Linked DNA regions of Coturnix japonica. The protein of the gene in region 1 interacts with the protein of each later gene in a biochemical or structural test. Links are inferred from orthologs where the notes say so. Each region holds a gene or a part of one and is shown in the gene's direction. Other genes may lie near its edges. The genes, in order: ATG7 and MAP1LC3A.

Region 1 (4,235 bases):
GGATTTATCGGTTTCTTCTACTAAGAAGCAGAGAATAGCAAATCAGGGTAAGGAATGAAGAAACCTACTGCCATGTGGGGCCAAGCCCTCAGGCGTGGTTTCCTGCAAACATGTTCAACATTTCCCAGTTAATAAACAAGGTCAGAGGACTCACACTTTTAAGTGAACATAATGAATTTCTTGGACTGAAATTCGACTTTGTTGAGGATGTGGTTAGAGCAGCCAACTTTAAGAAGCAGAAAAGTGTACTCACCCTTCCATGTTTCTTTGTGCCAATAAGGACATCTAGTGGGAAATGAGAAGAATTGTGGGATCCTGTATTGAGTATGATATAGCTTGCAAGTTTATTAAAGAAGGGCTGCAGTTTGGAAGTGGATTGTGCCATTTGGTCTATGTTTCATTCTCATATTATTTAACCCCTGCAGAGCTGCCATCCAGGGAGTCCCCAGCCTACAGTGATGCAGCAGGTGACGTGCAGGGTGTCTTCCAGGTACAGCTTTCCCATTTGATGTGGCTTTGCTGGCCTTGGTGAGGCTCCTCTCAGACACAGCCGGGTGTTGAGGCTCCTTATGGAGCACAGTCCTGCCCATTTCAGCTGCTGTGGTGTCATCCAGAGGTCTGAGCAGGGTTCCCTCATCCAGCCCGGTGATAGGGGTATTAAACATTACCAGCACAGGTCTCAGCCTGCTTGGAAAACTCCCATAACGTGCTGGTGGCTGTTTTTTTGTTTTTTGTTTTTTTTTCACCTGTTGAGCATGGCTTTCTGTGCCCAAAAGCTGGGTTTTAAAACATCCTGCTGACCGCCCATTAAATCCACGTCTTGTTCAGATTACTTCTCATGCCAGGTCACACTGAAGGTAAAGAAATATTGTGTTAGGGACTGCATATATTGGCAGCAGCTGTGGTACCAAGTGTCATGGGGAAGCATAAACAGGCCGAGGACATTTGCTGACATAAAGATAGGAATGTCTCCAGCATTCAGCCACCGTGCATTTATATGATCACCCGCAGAGTTTTAGCTCACTAAACATGCTTGATCAACCTATAACACTTTGCTATAGCACCATACTCAACGCAGAGCATCCTCGCGCAGGTTCGATCTAGCAGCCACAACCACAGAGAAGGAGAGGCTGGTTTTTAGTCCTCATTACTTCGCGAGTAATGCCGTAAGATGAGTGTACTTCACTCAGGACGGCACAGAAAAGAACCACAAGGGGGCAATGCGCTGACTGACGTTCCCTCTCCTCAGGCGGAGCCAAAGGACGGGCGTGTGAGTGCACTCCCCTTCCCGCCCTCCTCGGTCAAGTGACCGCGTCACGTCAGCCGGCAATGGCGGAAGTGCTGCGCGGTGGAGCCGGTGAGCGGCCGTGGGCGGTCGGGGGCTGAGGGGCATGAAGGGCGTCTGCTGTGGTGGTGTCCCCATTGCGGGGCTGTGCGGTGCTGGCTGTGCTGCCCAGAGCTGTGAGTGCCATCCCTGGAGCTGCCCCAGGCTCTGGACGGGCCCTGAGCAGTCTGAGCTGGGGGCAGCCAGCCCACAGATGGGGGCTGCGAGGTCACTTCCATCCCAACACTGCTGTGATCCCTAGAAATAAGGAGAGGTTTCTTTATGTTGGTAGAAGTGATACAAGGTGTTTTTAAGCTGTGGAAAAAAATTATGATACTGCAGATTCCTGTTATTAAAAATTAAAAAGGAAGGAAAAATAAAGTGAAGTTAAGCAGGATGTAATATCATGTGTGCCAGTTAAAGCAAGACATTGTGACAGAACCTTATATTTGTCATTGATGGAAAACAAACCTATCCAAAATCTCGTAGAAAATCCGTGAAAAGTGTTTTCATTGCATTAAGTTCCTTAAATTTTCAGAGGAATGAGGTTTTCTGTACTTCACATAACAAGACGTATTTAAAAGAAACTTTAAGTAGTTATGTATAATGTGGTCATTGGGGTGTGTACTTATACAGCTCATCTGCTTTTATAGAATTCTCTTTGCTTGTGTGTTTAATAGTGAACTACAATCATGGCAGCAGTCAGTAATGAGCCCCACCATGCTGTGGATCCTGGAAGTTCGAAGCTGCAGTTTGCTCCCTTCAGTAGTGCCTTGAACGTAGGGTTCTGGCATGAACTAACCCAGAAGAAGCTCAATGAGTACCGACTAGATGAGACTCCAAAAGTTATCAAAGGATACTACTACAATGGTAGGTAGAAACTGAACATCTTTCTTTGCACTTTGGCTTGTTCCTCTAAATATTCATTTAACATGTTTCAGGTATTTTGCTGAAACATTGCTAGGATTAGGAGCGCTGCTGAATGAGATGGGAATTCTGGTGTGTCTGTGGGTGTCTTATAACCCTAGATTAGTTTCTCTAATTTTAGAATACATGTATTGTAGTTTAAAAGATGCATGTTGCTTTTTGTTTTTTGGCCAGGCGATCCATCAGGTTTCCCAGCTCGTTTGACGTTGGAATTTAGTGCTTTTGATATGTAAGTATGTATTATGGTTTACCTTAATTTATATATGGAGAAACTTTCCTTGCATAACAGTAACTTGGTGAGAGAGTATCACTTGGAAAAAATCTGTGAAAGATCAATTCACATTCTCATGAACTTTATAACTGCAGTGAGTGTTTTGTGACTCAGTACTAACCTGTTTTTGAAGCAGCGTATTCATCTGAAGGGCCAAGCTTAAAATACACTGACAAGTCTCAGTTTCACTTACTGTTTATATGTGTTTATATAATACTCTTTTCTCACATTTCATAGGCTCTTTTGTATAAATAATTATTTCAGTTATTATTTCTGATTAAAGCTTTCTTAATATCTTTATAAACTAAATATTCTTCCTTAGAATGAAGATCTCAAAATAGCTTTTACAACCTCTGGTTGTTACGTTGCAATATTTTTGAAAGTAGTATTTAACCTTTGACTGAAATTTTTTAATAAAGCAGTATGATCATGTTTTCAGGATAGCTCTCACTAGCTTCTATTACTATGCCTCATTGTTTTTCAGTTTCTGGACAATTTTACCCCATAGGAGAGCAATTGCTGCTAGTACTGATCCTGTTGAAGATGTTAGTACACAATTCCCAGTGTTCTCTTGTTTTTTTCTTAATTCAGGAATGCTTCAATACCAGCACGTTGCTGTCCTGCTTTTGGAACGTTGCATAATACCAACACTTTTGAGACTTTCAAGTCCTGTGATAAAAAATCACTTTTGGAAAAAGAAGCAAATGAGGTAAGGTTTAAAATCAAATCAGCTGGTTGAATGGTAACTGTTCAGTCATGGCCTGAACCACTAATTGAGCACCTGGGGAAAGGATCTGATCAGCCCTGGGAGCACAGGTGAAGGCAATTCAGCTGTGTGATAGGAAGAGCCAGGTGGAGCCTGGCTGCACCTATTTAAGACCTTGTTGAACGGCTGACTGCCCATGGGCAAGAATCTCTGGTTGGAGATCCTTTCCTTGTGAGCCCAGATCTTCAGAGATGGGTGAGCACTTTTCCTTTGTAATGCATTGCTATTCATGCTGGTCCCTTTGTCATTACACCTGCTGTATCAGTATTCCACTGTGCTGATCTGTTTGATCACTTTTAAAGAGATGGTTTGAAAATAGCCAGCAGATTGTTTTATAGTCTCTGATCCAAATATTAGTGACTGCCCAAACTCGCCCATACAGTTTTATTTAACTTATTATGGTGAGGGAAGTTTAATATTTGCTTTTTTATTGCTCTTTGCAAGAGATTAGCAAGTTGATGATTATGCTTGGGGATCTTTTTTTTCAGGGTGCTACAAAGCCATGTTTTAAATTCAGTGGTTACTGGAGCTGCCAGTGACTTGCATCCTATAGATCATGTTTATAATTTGATACAACATCCAGAAATCAGGAAGTGTTTATTTTAAACTGAATTACTGCAGTCCATCTATCCATGTGACAAAGTGATGGGAAACAGAAATTTGAGATAAAGCAAGAGAAAAGTGGCAGCCAAAGGAAGGGGCTTATCTGCTTGTACTGTAACCAACTAATTTAAATGTCATGGTTTAGGGAGAAAGGCAAGTCTAACAAAGGCAGCCTTTTTATTTTTGAGATCTTACACTTTGACCAGTGTTTGATTCCTTCAGTTAGCTTTATTGGCTGCCTGCTGTCTGTAGGTAACAGGGTTTTCATGTGTATCTTCTTTCGAGGCCTGTTGTGGCATAGTACTTCCAGTAAATGACAGACACAGTGTAGTTAAATTAAGTTC
Region 2 (4,595 bases), on another chromosome or scaffold:
TGAATAAGCATTTTGGCTCTGAGCTCTTTTTCATAGCCTGAAAGCAGAGAACAGTAACTCAGAGATGGGCTTGAAAAGCATTTGTGCTCTGTGGCTTTGAGCTGCTTTGTGTTACAACTGGAGAATGGCCTCACTTTCTGTCTTTGAGAAATTGATCCCTTTCTGAAGGCAAAGGAAACACCTGCTGCGAAGTCAGAGCAAACAAACCCTGATGCATTAAGAGGCTGATGAGGGGGGTTTGAAGTATGGCTCAGGGCTGCAAGCAGCAGCACTTGTAGCCCAAGATCTCTTTGTCCAGCTGAGATAAGGCCGTGGCAGAGGAATGGAGGTGACAGCACTTAAGAGATCGCAAAAGATAGACTTGTGGAAACATCTGTTCATCTTCAGACACGTCTTTCAGCTGCTATGGGCAGCAGCTATTTGTCTGCCTGAGATGGCTGAGCAGCACTCCTTTCACACACAGGAGCTTTATTTACCTTGTCTTAAAGCTTTTGCTGTGCATTGCTATGTCTGTAGGGAATGAAAGCAAGGCCTACAGCAGGCCAAGCTGGCTGTGTGTTAGCAGAGTGCCCCGACCTGCACAGGCTGCATGCAGAGCTGTGGTGTGCGGGGGCTGCAGGGCACTGAGCTCTGACAGCACCAACACTGCAGGAGTCTGAGCGTCATCAGGTCTGTGTTGACAGTAATACACTACTTCAGCAGCACAACAGCATTCCTCGGGGAGGCTCCAAGCTGTCACAAACATGCAGGGTGCTCATTACCAGCAGTGCTCACCCTGCTGGAATGCTGGCATTGTAAAGCTGGCTGTTGATCGTGGGTTGCTATAGGGCTGCTTGCTGCTGCTGGGTTGGTCTGTCTACCTGTTCCTCGTCAAAAGTGGGTTAGTGCTTAACAACAGTAACAAATTCAGTGAGCCTGCAGTCTGCAATGTCAGTCCATCTGCCTTATCTCAGTCAGTACCGCAACTTCTTTCCCTTCTGCATTTTTGGATGGCCAGGACCCTTTTGATCATCAGAGCACTTTTAAAAGATGCAGTGGGAGCCTTTCTGTCCCTTTGAAGCAGGGATGTACTCAATGTCTGCCCACCATGGGGGGTTGTTTTGGAGCACAGCGCTCATTGCAGCGTGCCTTCACGGGGACATGCAGTGTGGCTCTCTGCAAAACACCGTCACCGTTTGCAGCTGGGTTTGATTCGTTCACGGCTCTAGAAATAGCCCGCTCTATTTGTAGCCGTGATTTGCTCTGCAAGGTATGCGGGCTGTGTGTGCAGCGGGGGGAGACGGGCTGCTCCGGGGCGTGCGGGGCAGTAAGAGGAGGGGACGGGGACTGAGTACATGGGCAGAGCGGGGGACGGGGGCGGCTTTAACTAGAACAGGGAAGATTCAGGTCGGATGAGCGGAGGGAATCCTACACCCGCAGGCGGTGCGGCCCCGGCCCTGGGCAGCCCGGGCTGGGGGAGCGGCTCAGGTGCGCACGGAGCAGCGCTCAGCGATGTGCTGCGGGAGGGGAAAGCGGCTCTTGGGGTGTGAGCGGGGCCCGAAAGGCCGCGATTGAAAACGGGATCGATGACTCGGCGCTCATCGCACCGGGCGGCACCGCCCCACGGACACGTCACGTGACACGTCACGGCCCTCCGCCCGCCCCGGTGACGTCACCGCCCGCTCCGCCGCAGCCGCCACACGGAGCCGCCGCCGGCACCTGCGACCCGGCCCGGCCGCCGCCGCCGCCGCCAACACCACCGCCATGCCCTCGGAACGGCCCTTCAAGCAGCGCCGCACCTTCGGTGAGCGGACGGCGGGGCGATGTGCGCGGGAGCTGCGTGCGCAGCGATCGGGGGGCGAGGATGGGGCCGCGCGGTGCCGCGGGGCGGGCGGTGCCCTCCGGCCGGGCTATACCGGGCTGTGCGGGGCTGTACGGGGCTGTGCGGGGCTGTACGGGGCTGTACGGAGCTGTACGGGGCTGTGCGGAGCTGTACGGAGCTGTACGGAGCTGTGCGGGGCTGTACGGAGCTGTACCGGGCTGTGCCGGGCTGTACGGGGCTGTACCGGGCTGTACCGGGCTGTACGGGGCTGTACCGGGCTGTACCGGGCTGTACGGGGCTGTACCGGGTTGTACCGGCGGCCCTCGGGCTCCTTGTCCTCCTCCCGCAGCCCGAACGCACCCGCGTAGCGCGGCGGTCCCCCCCCACCCCCCGTTTCTTATTGTGGCACCGCCCGGAGCCGCGACCCCTTCGCCCCGCTGTGGCGGCGGGCTGAGCCCCTTCGGCTGCGGGTGGGCGGCCGAACCTTCGCGCACCGCCCGGTGCCCCCGCCCGGCTGGGGGTCGCTGTGCCGAGGACCCCGCGCTCCGCACCCTGTGCTGCCGGGCCCGGCGGGTTCCGCGCTCGCGTGGAAACATCGTTGTGCTGAATGTGGGCGGTGGGCGATGTGACCGTACGGGGCGATGTGACCGTACGGGGCGATGTGACCGTACGGGTCGGTGTTACCGTACGGGGCAATGTTACCGTACGGGGCAGTGTTACCGTACGGGCAGTGTTACCGTACGGGGCAGTGTTACCGTACGGGTCAGTGTTACCGTACGGGTCAGTGTTACCGTACGGGGCAGTGTTACCGTACGGGGCAGTGTTACCGTACGGGGCAGTGTTACCGTACGGGGCAGTGTTACCGTACGGGCAGTGTTACCGTACGGGGCAGTGTTACCGCACGGGGCGATGTTACCGTACGGGTCAGTGTTACCGCACGGGGCGCCGCGTCGTGCCTTGCCCGGCAGAGCGGCAGCTGCTGCTCCCCCTGACCTTTGCCGGCCGAACCCCGCGGCCACACGGCGCTTGGCTGGAGTTTTCTATTAAAAGCAGCAGAATCCCGAGTGCCGCCCGTATCTCTGCCCGCTGCTCCGCCGTGGCAGCCGGCATCGCGGGCGGGAGGAGCCGGCTTTGCCTTTGCACGTTGCTCAGGCTGGAGGAAAACAAAAGTCGAGGCTCGGAGTGACCGAAGGAGAGCGGGACTGAAATAGCGCAGGAGGGAAAGGGGGGGAGACGGAGTCGGGTGCTGTGTGACCGCGGGTGTCTGCGCCGTCCTGTGCCCTTTGGCTCCCGGCTGATGTGCAGAGCTCAGCGGGACGAGGAGGAAGAGGAGGCGGCCCGGCGCCCGCTCGGCTGCTTTGGGTCGGGGCTGGGATCGCTCCGCTGGAGAAAGTAAACAGCGCTTGTTTTCGTCTTCAGCTCGTTGCACAACGGGAGCAGGAAGCGATTGTTGACAGTGCCGCTGGAGACGGACGATGGAAAATATTTCCAGTGACACTGCACCCTCAGAACGGCGCTGTTTGTAAGGCCGCAGAGCTGGAGAGAAGTGGAACGGCTCCAAAAGAACAGAACAGGCAGAGTCAGAGTGTGGCTGTTTACAAGAGCCGCCCAAGGCTCCGGTGTCACGGCACGTGGCTCGGTGAGGCCTTGGCCCGCTGCCCCGTGCTGACGCTCTGCTGTGCTTTGTGCCCATTTTCCCCCTTCTTGTAGTGTTGAGGTTTGTTTTTCTATGGGGTTTCTTCTGTTTGCCCATCTGCTTTGTCTCAGGTCTGTTCTGAATACATTTTATGGAGCTCAGTGTGATGCTGTTGAGGACTTAAGTCCAACGCTGGGGCATGCGGCGTCCCCCTGGTGTCTGATGCACATCAGAGGGGGCTCTGCTGGGGTTGTGCTCCCCGCTGTGGCTGTGGCTGTATCTTTGGGCTGGGGGTGAGATCTGATGGAGCCCCTCAGCTGCCACGTGCAAACCTGCCTGTGAATGCTGAGGGAGCTGCGTTCTGCTTAGTCAGATCCATGGTAGGAGTCCAGACCAATTCCCAGAGTGAAGCTGTGCTCTGTGTCAGAGGAGCAGGCTGTCCTGGCTGCAGCCATGTGTGCAACCTGCTGACCCTGCGCTGCTTCCTGTGAAAGGTGCATCTTTGGGCTGGATGCTCCCATCCCAGGTGCAGTTTTCTGTGCCTTCAGTTCTGGCAGTGCACTTCTCATGTGGAAAAGGCAGCAGTCGGTAAGAGCAGCACATAGAACTGAAGAGTGGCCTTCACCAGGTGGCAGCAGGGTGAGGAAGGGGATTGTCCCCCTGTGATCAGCTCCTGTGAGACCCCACCTTGGTTTTGCATCCAGCCCTGGGGCTGCTGGCACAGGAAGGACGTGGAGCTGCTGCAGGAGGTCCAGAGGAGGACACAAAGGTGCTCAGAGGGCTGGAGCATCTCTGCTATGGAGTCTGGCTGAGGGAGCTGGGAGTGTTCTGCCTGAAGGAGGGAAAGCTGCGGGGAGACCTCATTGCAGCCTTGCAATGTTTAAAGGGAGATTATAAACAGGAGGAAAATCAACTTTTTACACATGTAGATGGTGATAGAACGAGGGGAAACAGCTTTAAACTAGAGGGAAGATTCAGATTAGATGTCAAGGGGAAGATTTTCACTGAGAGGGCAGTGCAGCCCTGGCACTGCTGCTCAGAGCTGGGGGTTTTCTGTTCCTGGAGGTGCCTACAGCCATGGATGGGGCCCTGGGCAACCTTATCAAATGGTTGGCAGCCCTGCCCATGGCAAGGGGGCTGGAACGACATGATCTTTGA

The links.
Region 2: the proteins of ATG7 (region 1) and MAP1LC3A form a complex in vitro, tested with the Homo sapiens proteins (2 studies listed by BioGRID, with this or other methods). The link is inferred for Coturnix japonica from reciprocal best matches to the Homo sapiens genes ATG7 and MAP1LC3A.

What each region holds. Positions count from the first base shown.
Region 1 is NC_029527.1:2,870,721-2,874,955, forward strand, and holds the start of ATG7 (ubiquitin-like modifier-activating enzyme ATG7), read left to right. Parts: upstream 1-1,236; 5' UTR 1,237-1,357; intron 1,358-1,441; exon of another isoform or gene 1,442-1,461; intron 1,462-1,977; exon of another isoform or gene 1,978-2,004; 5' UTR 2,005-2,016; coding exon 2,017-2,194; intron 2,195-2,425; coding exon 2,426-2,480; intron 2,481-3,113; coding exon 3,114-3,231; intron 3,232-4,235. UniProt on the Homo sapiens protein: E1-like activating enzyme involved in the 2 ubiquitin-like systems required for cytoplasm to vacuole transport (Cvt) and autophagy.
Region 2 is NC_029535.1:1,283,110-1,287,704, reverse strand, and holds the start of MAP1LC3A (microtubule-associated proteins 1A/1B light chain 3A), read left to right. Parts: upstream 1-1,655; 5' UTR 1,656-1,743; coding exon 1,744-1,783; intron 1,784-4,595. UniProt on the Homo sapiens protein: Ubiquitin-like modifier involved in formation of autophagosomal vacuoles (autophagosomes). While LC3s are involved in elongation of the phagophore membrane, the GABARAP/GATE-16 subfamily is essential for a later stage in autophagosome maturation.